Linked DNA regions of Saccharomyces cerevisiae S288C. The protein of the gene in region 1 binds, or shares a complex with, the protein of each later gene. Each region holds a gene or a part of one and is shown in the gene's direction. Other genes may lie near its edges.

What was found.
Region 2: GPI19 (region 1) and ERI1 share a complex: the UniProt entries of both Saccharomyces cerevisiae proteins name them as parts of the phosphatidylinositol N-acetylglucosaminyltransferase (GPI-GlcNAc transferase) complex.

Annotation. Positions count from the first base shown.
Region 1 is NC_001136.10:1,334,154-1,339,191, forward strand, and holds GPI19 (phosphatidylinositol N-acetylglucosaminyltransferase GPI19), read left to right. Parts: upstream 1-3,198; coding exon 3,199-3,621; downstream 3,622-5,038. Other genes in the region: PPZ2 (salt homeostasis regulator), read left to right, coding at 668-2,800; THI74 (Thi74p), read left to right, coding at 4,121-5,038. UniProt on the Saccharomyces cerevisiae protein: Part of the complex catalyzing the transfer of N-acetylglucosamine from UDP-N-acetylglucosamine to phosphatidylinositol, the first step of GPI biosynthesis. Involved in cell wall biosynthesis.
Region 2 is NC_001148.4:364,433-371,429, reverse strand, and holds ERI1 (Eri1p), read left to right. Parts: upstream 1-4,694; coding exon 4,695-4,901; downstream 4,902-6,997. Other genes in the region: putative GTPase NOG1, read right to left, coding at 1-452; Sec63 complex subunit SEC62, read left to right, coding at 767-1,591; EEB1 (medium-chain fatty acid ethyl ester synthase/esterase), read left to right, coding at 1,989-3,359; PNG1 (peptide-N4-(N-acetyl-beta-glucosaminyl)asparagine amidase), read right to left, coding at 3,412-4,503; tyrosine--tRNA ligase MSY1, read right to left, coding at 5,000-6,478; MGR2 (Mgr2p), read left to right, coding at 6,703-6,997. UniProt on the Saccharomyces cerevisiae protein: Probable component of the GPI-GlcNAc transferase (GPI-GnT) complex in the endoplasmic reticulum, a complex that catalyzes transfer of GlcNAc from UDP-GlcNAc to an acceptor phosphatidylinositol, the first step in the production of GPI-anchors for cell surface proteins.

The DNA of each region.
Region 1 (5,038 bases):
CTGTGCGTTCTGCTCAGAAGTTTCGCTGCAGTTTTCATTGATTGATAACATAGTGTGCTGCTGACGGAATCGCCTTAAAATGCCTGTACGAAGTAAAATATGGCAGCCGCTGCACTAAACCTTGTAGTGCTCGCTCTTACTTTATTGCGATTCCCACAATCCAAAATTTGCAGTCGCCGCTACGATGGTGTCTGACAACTTCTTCCACATACCAATGTACGTCTTGCCTTCACACCTTACTGCTTCTTATGGCATCCCATATTGGATCCCCCACGTCGCCGCGACAGGCCTTGGACGCCAGCCGTTGCGTTGCACTTGCCAAAGTAACTCACTTGCCAGGGTCTCAGCGATGCACAGAAGAAGGCGGTCCCTTCTTGGAAGAGAGAAATTGTTTACATAACTATATAGTATCTCACAGATACAAGCATACGGTAGCCATAATATACTTCGCAAACCGTACCTTTTTGCGTAAGAAATACACATATAGTAGGTTTTGTCGCCTCCTCTTCCCCCTTTGTCTCAGCATAGCATTAACATAGGTGCCTCAGAGTGACAAAGAGAGAAATAGTTAACTAGAATACGGTGCAAATTCAGAGAAAAAATATCAGATTCTATTCTATTTACCCCCCCTATAACTGCAGAATCGTACATTTGATCAGCAAGTACCATGGGTAATTCCGGTTCGAAACAACATACCAAGCACAATAGCAAGAAGGATGACCACGACGGTGACAGGAAAAAGACACTAGATCTCCCACCACTGACAAAATCGGATACTACACATTCGCTGAAATCGTCAAGGTCGCTGAGGTCGCTGCGGTCGAAACGCTCAGAGGCGTCGTTGGCATCTAATGTTCAAGCTCAAACGCAACCCCTCTCCCGCAGATCGTCCACTCTGGGAAACGGCAATCGCAACCATAGGCGATCAAACAACGCCCCAATCACTCCTCCTAATAACCACTACCTAACCTCACATCCCAGTTCGTCAAGAAGACTCTCTTCCTCTTCGAGAAGGTCGAGCATGGGGAATAATAACAATTCAGAATTGCCCCCGTCAATGATCCAGATGGAGCCCAAATCACCCATCTTGAAAAATAGTACAAGCATGCATTCCACTAGCTCTTTCAACTCTTACGAAAATGCGTTGACTGATGATGACGACGATAGGGGGGATGATGGCGGCGAGAGCCCCTCAATGGCCAAAGTTACTCGCATCAACACTAGTTCTTCCGCAGATAGAGGCTCCAAGCGTACTCCTTTAAGACGTCATAATTCATTACAACCGGAAAAAGGTGTAACAGGATTTTCCTCGACTTCATCGAAATTACGCAGAAGATCAGACAATACTCTGCCAGCAAGTTATCCTTTAAATGCAGAAGCAGGAGGGAATGGCAGCGACTATTTCTCAAACAGATCAAACTCGCATGCATCATCCAGGAAGTCGTCATTTGGCTCCACTGGGAATACAGCTTATAGCACACCACTGCATTCACCTGCGTTAAGAAAAATGAGCTCGAGGGACAACGACGATAGCGGAGACAACGTCAACGGTAGAGGCACCTCACCTATCCCTAATCTAAACATAGACAAGCCTTCGCCGTCAGCGTCGTCAGCGTCAAAAAGAGAATATTTAAGTGCATATCCAACACTAGCTCACAGAGATTCATCATCTTCACTTAGTCCGCGGGGCAAAGGACAACGGTCTTCATCGTCTTCCAGTTCCAGTCAAAGAATATATGTTTCCCCACCATCTCCCACAGGTGATTTCGTACACGGGAGTTGTGCAGACGGTGATAATGGATCTAGGACTAATACTATGGTCGAAATGAAAAGGAAAAAACCAGTTCGTCCAGTGGACATAGATGAAATTATCCAGAGATTACTAGATGCCGGCTATGCCGCAAAGAGGACCAAGAATGTTTGCTTAAAGAATTCCGAGATTATTCAAATTTGCCATAAGGCTCGTGAATTATTCCTTGCCCAACCTGCTCTCTTAGAATTATCTCCCTCGGTAAAAATAGTGGGTGATGTTCACGGCCAATATGCAGATCTTTTGAGACTTTTTACCAAATGCGGTTTCCCCCCCATGGCAAATTACTTATTTTTAGGCGATTACGTAGATCGCGGTAAGCAGTCCCTGGAGACCATTTTACTATTACTATGCTATAAGATTAAATATCCTGAAAATTTCTTCCTCTTAAGAGGCAATCATGAATGTGCCAATGTTACAAGAGTCTACGGGTTTTATGATGAATGTAAACGACGTTGTAATATCAAGATTTGGAAAACCTTTGTTGACACGTTCAACACGCTACCGTTAGCAGCCATCGTCACAGGAAAAATATTTTGTGTTCATGGTGGACTATCACCTGTTCTAAATTCCATGGACGAAATTAGGCACGTTAGTAGGCCCACCGATGTACCCGACTTCGGCTTAATTAATGACCTTTTATGGTCGGATCCTACAGATTCATCGAATGAATGGGAGGATAATGAGCGTGGAGTTAGTTTTTGTTACAATAAAGTGGCTATTAATAAATTTTTAAACAAATTCGGATTCGATTTAGTGTGTAGAGCACATATGGTGGTGGAAGATGGTTATGAATTCTTTAATGACAGAAGCTTAGTTACAGTGTTTTCGGCTCCCAACTATTGTGGTGAATTCGATAACTGGGGTGCTGTCATGACCGTTAGTGAAGGCCTACTCTGTTCTTTTGAGTTGTTGGACCCACTGGACAGTACCGCTTTGAAACAAGTGATGAAAAAAGGCAGGCAAGAACGTAAATTAGCCAATCGCTGAAAAACTAGATATTAATGTTGCAGTTAATAAGCTCATTGAAAACTTTCTTTGGTTGTTCCTCTTCCTTCTTTTTTTCGCCGATAAAGTTGTCGTTATAGTTTCACTTATATCTTACGAGAATCTAAATAAGTAAATATTAATATTATTCAATTTCTCATTTCCTTTCCTCTGGGTTTTTTGAGAGTACGAGTTTTATTGCTCGCTTTTTGTATTTTCACTTTGCCGGCTTTTTCACTATTCCCTATTGTCTTAATAAAGTTCCTGCTTGGGCCCAGTAAACTTTTAAAATTTATGTGCTGAAAGAAAGTTGAAACAATCACAAGAGGAGAGCAGATTTGCCAAAAAAAGAATCTGAGCTGTTTGTTCCTGTCTAATACTAAAAGATATAAATAAACAATATGTATACAAAAGAGTACTACTGGTTTTCACAATATATGATAATAACAAGCACTTTGGTGCTCACCATAATATGGTCCATCTTACCATCATCGCTGGGTGAGGCTGCACCAAAGCAGTTTATCAACACGCTATTGGACATCTTCCCACAAAGAAGATGGATTATTACCTTGGAGAGCATAATGCTGATGGGCATGCTATGCACATACATCGGCCTTCTGATGTACAATGAAGATACATTAACACCGCCGCTAGATTCTCTATCTACAGTAACGGATGCCGGTGGTCAACTTGTAATAGAGGACGACCCGGACGTATTCGTTAAGAAATGGGCCTTTAAAGAAACAAGTGGTATTTACGATCTGTCTCTGATGGATGCCTGCCAACTTCTCTACCTATATGATAACGACCATACCAGCACATAGCTTTTCTCAGCACCTGTCCAGAGACATAACATCACAATCACATCGCCCCAGTAAATGCATACGCAAGATAAGATACAAACTGGCTACGGGAACACTACGCCAACGTGATTGGCAATTGTGCTCTAATAGTTACTCTATTATTGCTGTTAATTGACAATGTTTAGTCACGTGCAACACAATTCAAGTCACGTGGAAAGGCCTTCACATGGTGATCCATCTTCTACATCTTCATCGGTCCTGCATAAAGTCATAATATGGGGCTACTGGAATGTATGCACTTAACAGTACTATTATATGGTGAGGCTGTAATGCTTACCGTTTTGTGGCTATTCTCGTATTCTGTAGGCCCCCCCATACACATTTTTCGGTAACTGCGGCATATAGATGAAAGTTGAAATGAATATTCAAAAGAATATATATAATAATGCAGGAGATCAAGGAAGAATTAGATATGTATAAGAGTGATGGTAGAGGCAAAAAATAAAAAGTAAGCAGGAGAATGAATCGTGTTGGTATAGACGTAGATCATATGATAGGGGTCCTGCTTCTGGCCGTAGTGGTGGTGTTTTGGGTTGGCGCTTCGTGTTTGACTAATGAATTGCTCGAGACAAACGCGTACAATAAACCTTTCTTCCTTACTTATCTAAACATATCATCGTTTGCTCTTTATTTGACGCCAGATCTATGGAGGATAATCCAATCAAGAAGGAAGAGCTTGCAGGAACGGACAGAACGAACATTACCTATTCACACACAAGAATCTTTTTCAGAGTTCCTACCTTTACTATCTTCAACTCCTTCTACTTCTTCAAATTTGTCTTCGATAGCGGACACGAAAGTGAAGGATACAATGAGGTTGAGTCTGCTATTTTGCGTCTTGTGGTTCGTGGCAAATTTGGCGGCTAACGCTGCTTTGTCGTATACCACAGTGGCTTCGTCAACAATTCTTTCATCGACATCCTCATTTTTTACCTTATTTCTTGCCACTAGTCTAGGAATAGAAACTTTTTCGACAAAAAAACTGCTGGGGTTATTTGTGTCTTTGTTTGGAATTATCTTAATTGTGATGCAATCCTCGAAGCAACAGGATTCTGTGAGTGCTTCCTCCTTTTTGGTAGGTAACACTTTAGCACTGCTGGGGTCATTGGGTTACAGTGTCTATACAACCCTTTTGAAATACGAAATATCATCCAAAGGTCTCAGACTAGACATTCAGATGTTTCTTGGTTATGTTGGTATCTTCACGTTTCTGTTGTTTTGGCCAATTTTAATAATCCTGGATATAACACATATGGAAACTTTTGAACTACCAAGTAACTTCCACATTTCTTTTCTTGTCATGTTAAATTGTATCATTATCTTTGTTAGTGACTATTTTTGGTGTAAAGCCCTCATTTTGACATCACCCTTGGTGGTT
Region 2 (6,997 bases), on another chromosome or scaffold:
TCCAAATAGGCCAATGGGTCCCTCAATTTCTTGACTATAGTTGCCATTCTACCTAAAGCGGCCCTTTTCAATTGTTTACATTGAAATAAAGATTGACCGAATTTTAGCAATCTGACATAATCTCTGGCGACTTGTTCCACAAGGGACTTCGCACGAGATATAGCTGCCAAAGATATCTTGTAATGATTCTTTTCGTATAGGGTGTCCATCAAATCTCTATGGAAAGGATGCACGTCATTGATGTTAGGAAAACCCTTTAAAATGTCCTCAAATTTTTCCACGAAACCTTCACCTGTGTATTTAACTTTACGCATATAGAACGCTCTGATTCTTGTAATCTTGAAACCAGGTCTGATCACAGTTGGTGTCTTTCTCTGGGTTCTGTTCAAGACAATATCCAGCAAATCATTTGCTGGAGCGACAGTAGGGATATCCTTCCATGAAAGTTGCATCTTCGGTATAGGAGGGAGATGTGTTTGCTTTTGGAGGGTACACTTACTTTTTTATAAACGCTGCAACTCCTAAATCTGAAGTGTATTCTTTATATTGTATTAGATGAGGTAGTACATAGGTGAAAATTTTTCTTTGCGATGAGCTGCGGAAAAAACTTTTCGTTCAGTTGAAAAAAAAAAAGAAAGTGAAGATCGTGTGCGACGGAATAGACGTGTCGTTTTCCCAATACTGGCATACAAATCAAGAGGGAGAAGAGTGGGCTTTTATAATTGCAGTTGAATGCAGTATGGTAGCCGAGCAAACACAGGAGAACATGTCAGCCGTAGGTCCAGGTAGCAATGCAGGTGCTAGTGTCAATGGCGGATCTGCTACAGCCATTGCTACTCTTTTACGCAACCATAAGGAGTTGAAGCAAAGGCAGGGTTTATTCCAGGCCAAGCAGACAGACTTCTTCCGTTACAAGAGATTTGTTAGGGCACTGCATTCTGAGGAGTATGCCAACAAATCTGCAAGACAGCCAGAGATATATCCAACTATACCTTCTAACAAGATCGAAGACCAGCTTAAGTCACGTGAAATCTTTATTCAACTTATAAAGGCACAAATGGTGATCCCAGTGAAAAAATTGCATAGTCAAGAATGCAAAGAGCATGGATTGAAGCCAAGCAAGGACTTTCCGCACTTGATTGTTTCGAATAAAGCACAATTGGAAGCCGATGAATACTTTGTTTGGAACTATAACCCTAGAACCTACATGGATTACTTGATCGTCATTGGTGTCGTGTCCATCATATTGGCGCTCGTATGCTACCCATTGTGGCCGCGCTCCATGAGACGCGGCTCCTATTATGTGTCTCTGGGTGCCTTCGGCATCTTAGCAGGCTTCTTTGCTGTCGCTATCCTGAGATTGATATTATATGTTTTGTCATTAATTGTCTACAAAGATGTTGGTGGGTTCTGGATCTTTCCCAACCTGTTCGAAGATTGCGGTGTACTAGAGAGTTTTAAGCCACTTTACGGTTTTGGTGAGAAGGATACTTATAGTTACAAAAAGAAACTGAAAAGAATGAAGAAGAAACAAGCCAAGAGAGAAAGCAATAAGAAGAAAGCCATCAATGAAAAAGCCGAACAAAACTGAACTTCCATTATCCTGTATAGCTCTACTGTATAAACCTTCTATATTGTAACCTCATGAACTCGCACATGTACAAACCTTCAAGAGAACCGGCACCAAAGCGCTACCATCTGGTTGCTTCATCGCTTATAGTGAGTAGTTTTAGATTTGAAGGTTATCGCTCCTGGCAAAAATCTGAATCCACACACCGCATAATTAGCGGTTATTATTACTCAATTTCCGGCCGGCTTTAATATACTTTCACCGAAAGGTCTCTATATAGAAGCTATTTGCTGACACTTGCTTACAGGAATCGATTATATAAGAAGGGTTCTGCATCTGGTTGCCTACTTAGTTTTCGGTATTTTTGAAGATTAGCAAAAAGATCAAGATATCAAGTATTTTCATATTTGTCATTTTAATGTTTCGCTCGGGTTACTATCCAACTGTCACTCCTAGCCATTGGGGCTATAACGGCACCGTCAAACATGTACTGGGAGAGAAAGGAACCAAGTCTTTGGCTTTCAGAGATTCTAAGCGCCAAATTCCTCTTCATGAATTCGTAACCAAACACGTGCCTACACTCAAAGATGGTGCAAATTTTAGGTTAAACAGCTTGCTTTTCACAGGTTACTTACAGACCCTTTATTTGTCAGCCGGTGATTTTTCCAAAAAATTTCAGGTATTTTATGGAAGAGAGATTATAAAATTTTCTGATGGAGGGGTCTGCACTGCAGATTGGGTTATGCCTGAATGGGAGCAAACATATTCATTAAATGCTGAAAAGGCTAGTTTTAACGAGAAACAATTTTCGAACGATGAAAAGGCCACCCATCCAAAGGGTTGGCCTCGTCTTCACCCGAGAACTAGATATCTATCCTCTGAGGAACTTGAAAAATGTCATTCTAAGGGTTATTCTTACCCTTTAGTGGTAGTACTTCATGGTCTTGCAGGGGGAAGCCATGAGCCTCTCATCAGGGCATTATCTGAAGATCTATCAAAAGTCGGTGACGGTAAATTCCAAGTGGTAGTCCTTAATGCTAGAGGTTGCTCAAGATCTAAAGTCACCACCCGTAGAATCTTTACCGCATTACACACAGGTGATGTGAGAGAATTTTTGAACCACCAAAAAGCTCTATTTCCGCAAAGAAAAATATATGCAGTCGGAACATCATTTGGAGCAGCCATGCTAACGAACTACTTAGGTGAAGAAGGAGATAACTGTCCATTAAATGCTGCAGTCGCTCTCTCAAACCCATGGGATTTCGTACACACTTGGGACAAGTTGGCTCATGATTGGTGGTCCAACCATATTTTTTCTAGAACTTTAACACAATTTCTAACAAGGACTGTCAAGGTTAATATGAATGAGTTGCAGGTACCAGAGAATTTTGAGGTTTCGCACAAACCGACAGTTGAGAAACCAGTCTTTTATACGTATACCAGAGAAAATTTGGAAAAGGCTGAAAAATTTACAGACATATTAGAATTCGATAATCTTTTCACTGCCCCATCGATGGGCCTGCCGGACGGGTTAACATATTATAGAAAGGCCAGTTCGATAAATAGATTGCCTAATATCAAAATCCCAACTTTAATAATCAACGCAACGGATGATCCAGTTACAGGTGAAAACGTAATTCCGTACAAACAAGCTAGAGAAAATCCTTGTGTGTTGTTATGCGAGACTGACTTGGGTGGACATTTGGCTTATCTCGACAATGAAAGTAATTCCTGGTTAACAAAGCAAGCTGCCGAGTTCTTGGGCAGCTTTGATGAGTTAGTTTTATAAATATGTTCTTAGATAAAATTCCTTACACATAATAATCTGTTCTTTTATTTCTCTATTTACCATCCTCCCCACGCTGTGCTTTCCAATCCGCCGATCCACTTTCTCTACCACGATTAGATGATTTCGAAGCGGCACTGACGCTTTCGGATTTCGTTTCTTGTGTCTTTCCTCTAATCAGCTCTATCTGTTCCTGCTCATCGCGACATGCAAGTTGGTATATCTCGTCATCATTTAACGAATACCTCAACCTCTTCGTTATAAATTGACAAAGGAATTTTAAATCTTCTTCCTTGATTTGATCTCTGGGCAGCTCGTTTTGGAGGATATAGCGTTTACTAACGTCAACAACGCCATCTTTACCGAACGCAATACAGTAACTCATTTTCTTGTTCCAGTTAATTGAATAGATATATGGTTGGTCGAATGATTGCTCACAGGAGTCGACATGAACCCACCTATTCAAAAAATTTGAAAAATATTCACACCAAACATGATCTTCTCTATTCCAGACGTAGCGAACATCTAACCCAAACGACTTCAAAATCAAAGTAAATAAATTGCACCATTCACCGCATCTTCCCTTTCTAGTTTCCAGCAACTTAATTGGATCGTTATAACGAGGAAATCTAGTGATATTTCCGCATCGGTTGCATTTATAGATCTCAACAGTTCCGCAATTGAATTTAGATTCCTCTCCATTGGGCCCTTGACTGCCCAGAGGTGTCATATTTTCTGAAGTGTTCTGGCCACAATGATTACAATCTGGTTTATTGCACCATTTGAAAAAATCTTGTTTGAAGTAGCGAAGCAGCTCCTTTACTAGATAATCCGTGTATATATTTTCCCCCTCTGCATGCCCATCTTTGGCAAATTCCTTATCAACATTTTTATATATTAGATCCAGATCCAATGTCTCCAGGACTATAGAATGCCATGAAGGATTGTCATAGACTGTACAGAGATGTTGACTCTGACCTAGGACTCCTTGTGCGAATTGATTTGTATGGACTAAATTCTGAAACCTTATATTCTCTACAGGTGCAGCTTTCTTGAATTTAGACAGTATGAAATCCTTATACTTAATTAACAACATTTTGGCTATTGAATCAAAATCTATGTTATTTTTTTCGTATACCTCTCCCATTGCTACTCCACCTGTTACCTTCTTCAGGTTGTTTTACGTCTTCTATATCTGTTCCCAACGCATCCTTTTTTCTTCGCTACAATACAAGGAAGATTACACTACGCAAAGTTTCGAAAACATCAAGAAGCATAGAACAGTTGAAACTAGGCAACAGGACTGTTTCAATTACATGATTGAGAATTTATAAGCGCATGAGACCACGTGACCAAGGCTTTTTGGTTTTAGGGTTTACTTACTCGGTACTCCTAATTAGTCTTGCTACATTTTACTGGTTACGCAACAATGACTCTTTCCTGCACTACTGGTGTGTATTACTGCTATGCCCTGCGACTCTCTGGCTGTGGGCCCTCATAGCCTGGTGTGACAGTGAAATGTTCGCAAGTAGTAAAGATGAATAATCGTTTATAATCTTATTTACAAGTCAGTGCATAAAATGATATAATATCACCTCACGCATGCCTATTTTATACATGTACTTTATATACCTCCCTTTTTTTTAACGCATTTCTATTATAAAACACTTCTGCTTTCCTATCCTCAAGATCAGTACTCGATCATCTATCAGGAAAGGAGCCAAGTTAGAAATATTTTCGTTTACTTTAGATTTTGAATGATGCAGATACACGCTTCCCTGGGAAAGTTTTCTTCTGGCTTCTGATACTGAACAATTTACTAGTTTACAAATTAACTTTATTAAGTCAATCTCTCTATCAGCATACTGCAAAATTCTGGCTTTTTTACATAGATCAACTAACTTCGCAGCAGATAAAGTTCCGTCATAACGTCCAAAAATAATATTAGAAAGCGCTTCTGAATCCGATCCGGAGCCAACTCCATATAACATATCTGTGACTTCTTTAGCCAATAAAGTTTGGCCATAACGTAGACTGGGTGATTTGATATGCGTTTCCACAATTTTTTTGATTTCACTTGAGTTTAAAAACGTAAAGATCTTCAAGAACTTGGGTACATCAGCATCCAAAGTATTATAAAAGAACTGGTAAACATCATACGCCGTATTGATTGAGGGGTCAATAAAAACAGCATTGCCTGCACTTTTCCCAAATTTCTCTCCTGTAGCCGTCGTCAACAAGGGCACAGTGATACCAAATGGCAAACCCTTATTCTTTATAGGCTGTATCCTATTGATGAGATCGATACCGGCTGTTATATTTCCCCATTGGTCGTTACCACCTACTTGTATAGTCACATTCTCTTCCTTATACAAATGGTAAAAATCGTACGCTTGTAAAACTTGGTAAGTAAATTCGTTAAATCCCAGACCATTTTTGGTTTGAAGCCTCGAAGAAATTGAATCCCTCGCCAACATAGATTGTACCCGAATGTGCCTACCAAAATCAGCTAAGAAATCCAACATTTTGATGTCTTTCCACCAGTTGAAATTATTCCTTGGTGTATATTTTCCGGAAGGTACATCTTCAGTGAGAGCACATCGGTTTCTGTAATATTCTAGGCCATTTTTGAAAAACCTTTGTAATTGCTGCGAGATGGATGCCACATTGCTTTGCCTAATATCGTTCTCCATAACGTCTCTTTCTGTTTTCCTACCACTTGGGTCCCCAACTTTCCCTGTAGCTCCACCTATCACAGTGACAATGTCGTGACCTTTTACGTAAAAGTGTAATAAAACCATTAGTGGAACTAGATTTCCCAAATGAAGTGACTGAGCTGTGGGATCCACCCCGCAGTATAATTTGATCTTATCGTTACCGTTCAACTTCGTCCGAAGGAAACTCTCTGGCTGTGAGACCTGGGACACTAGACCCCTTTGTTTGAGTTCGTCTAAAATATTATCGCTTCGAGAATCCGATGTGCCCTGTACTTCTAAAGCACTAGGCTGTGAATAAAATCGAGATTTAGGCAATGTTATTGCACTTAGTCCGGAATAAGTCACCAGAGGCACAAGTCTCCTACTACTATTGACCAAATTACTACAACTTCGTAATTCGAGCATGATTCACAATGTCTACCTGTAGATTGCTGTGTTCAATCGGAAACTGGAAATTCTTTCTTAACATTATGAGCCAACCACTTTTTATTTTCTTTTCAAAACTCCCGAACAAGACCAACATTACCAAACAGACTCCACTACTTTTCCATAAGAAGGAAGCACAGAACACCACACAAGATCATATAGCACAAATAGCGCAACAGCTTCAAGTCCAATATTAAGATATAATGCCTCCTCTTCCACAAAATTATGCGCAACAGCAGCCTTCGAATTGGGACAAATTCAAAATGGGGTTGATGATGGGTACTACCGTCGGTGTCTGCACAGGCATCCTATTTGGTGGATTTGCCATCGCAACTCAAGGCCCAGGTCCTGATGGTGTAGTTAGAACACTAGGGAAATACATTGCTGGTTCAGCGGGTACCTTTGGGCTATTTATGTCCATCGGGTCTATAATCAGAAGTGATAGTGAAAGTAGTCCAATGTCCCATCCTAACCTGAACCTACAGCAACAGGCAAGAC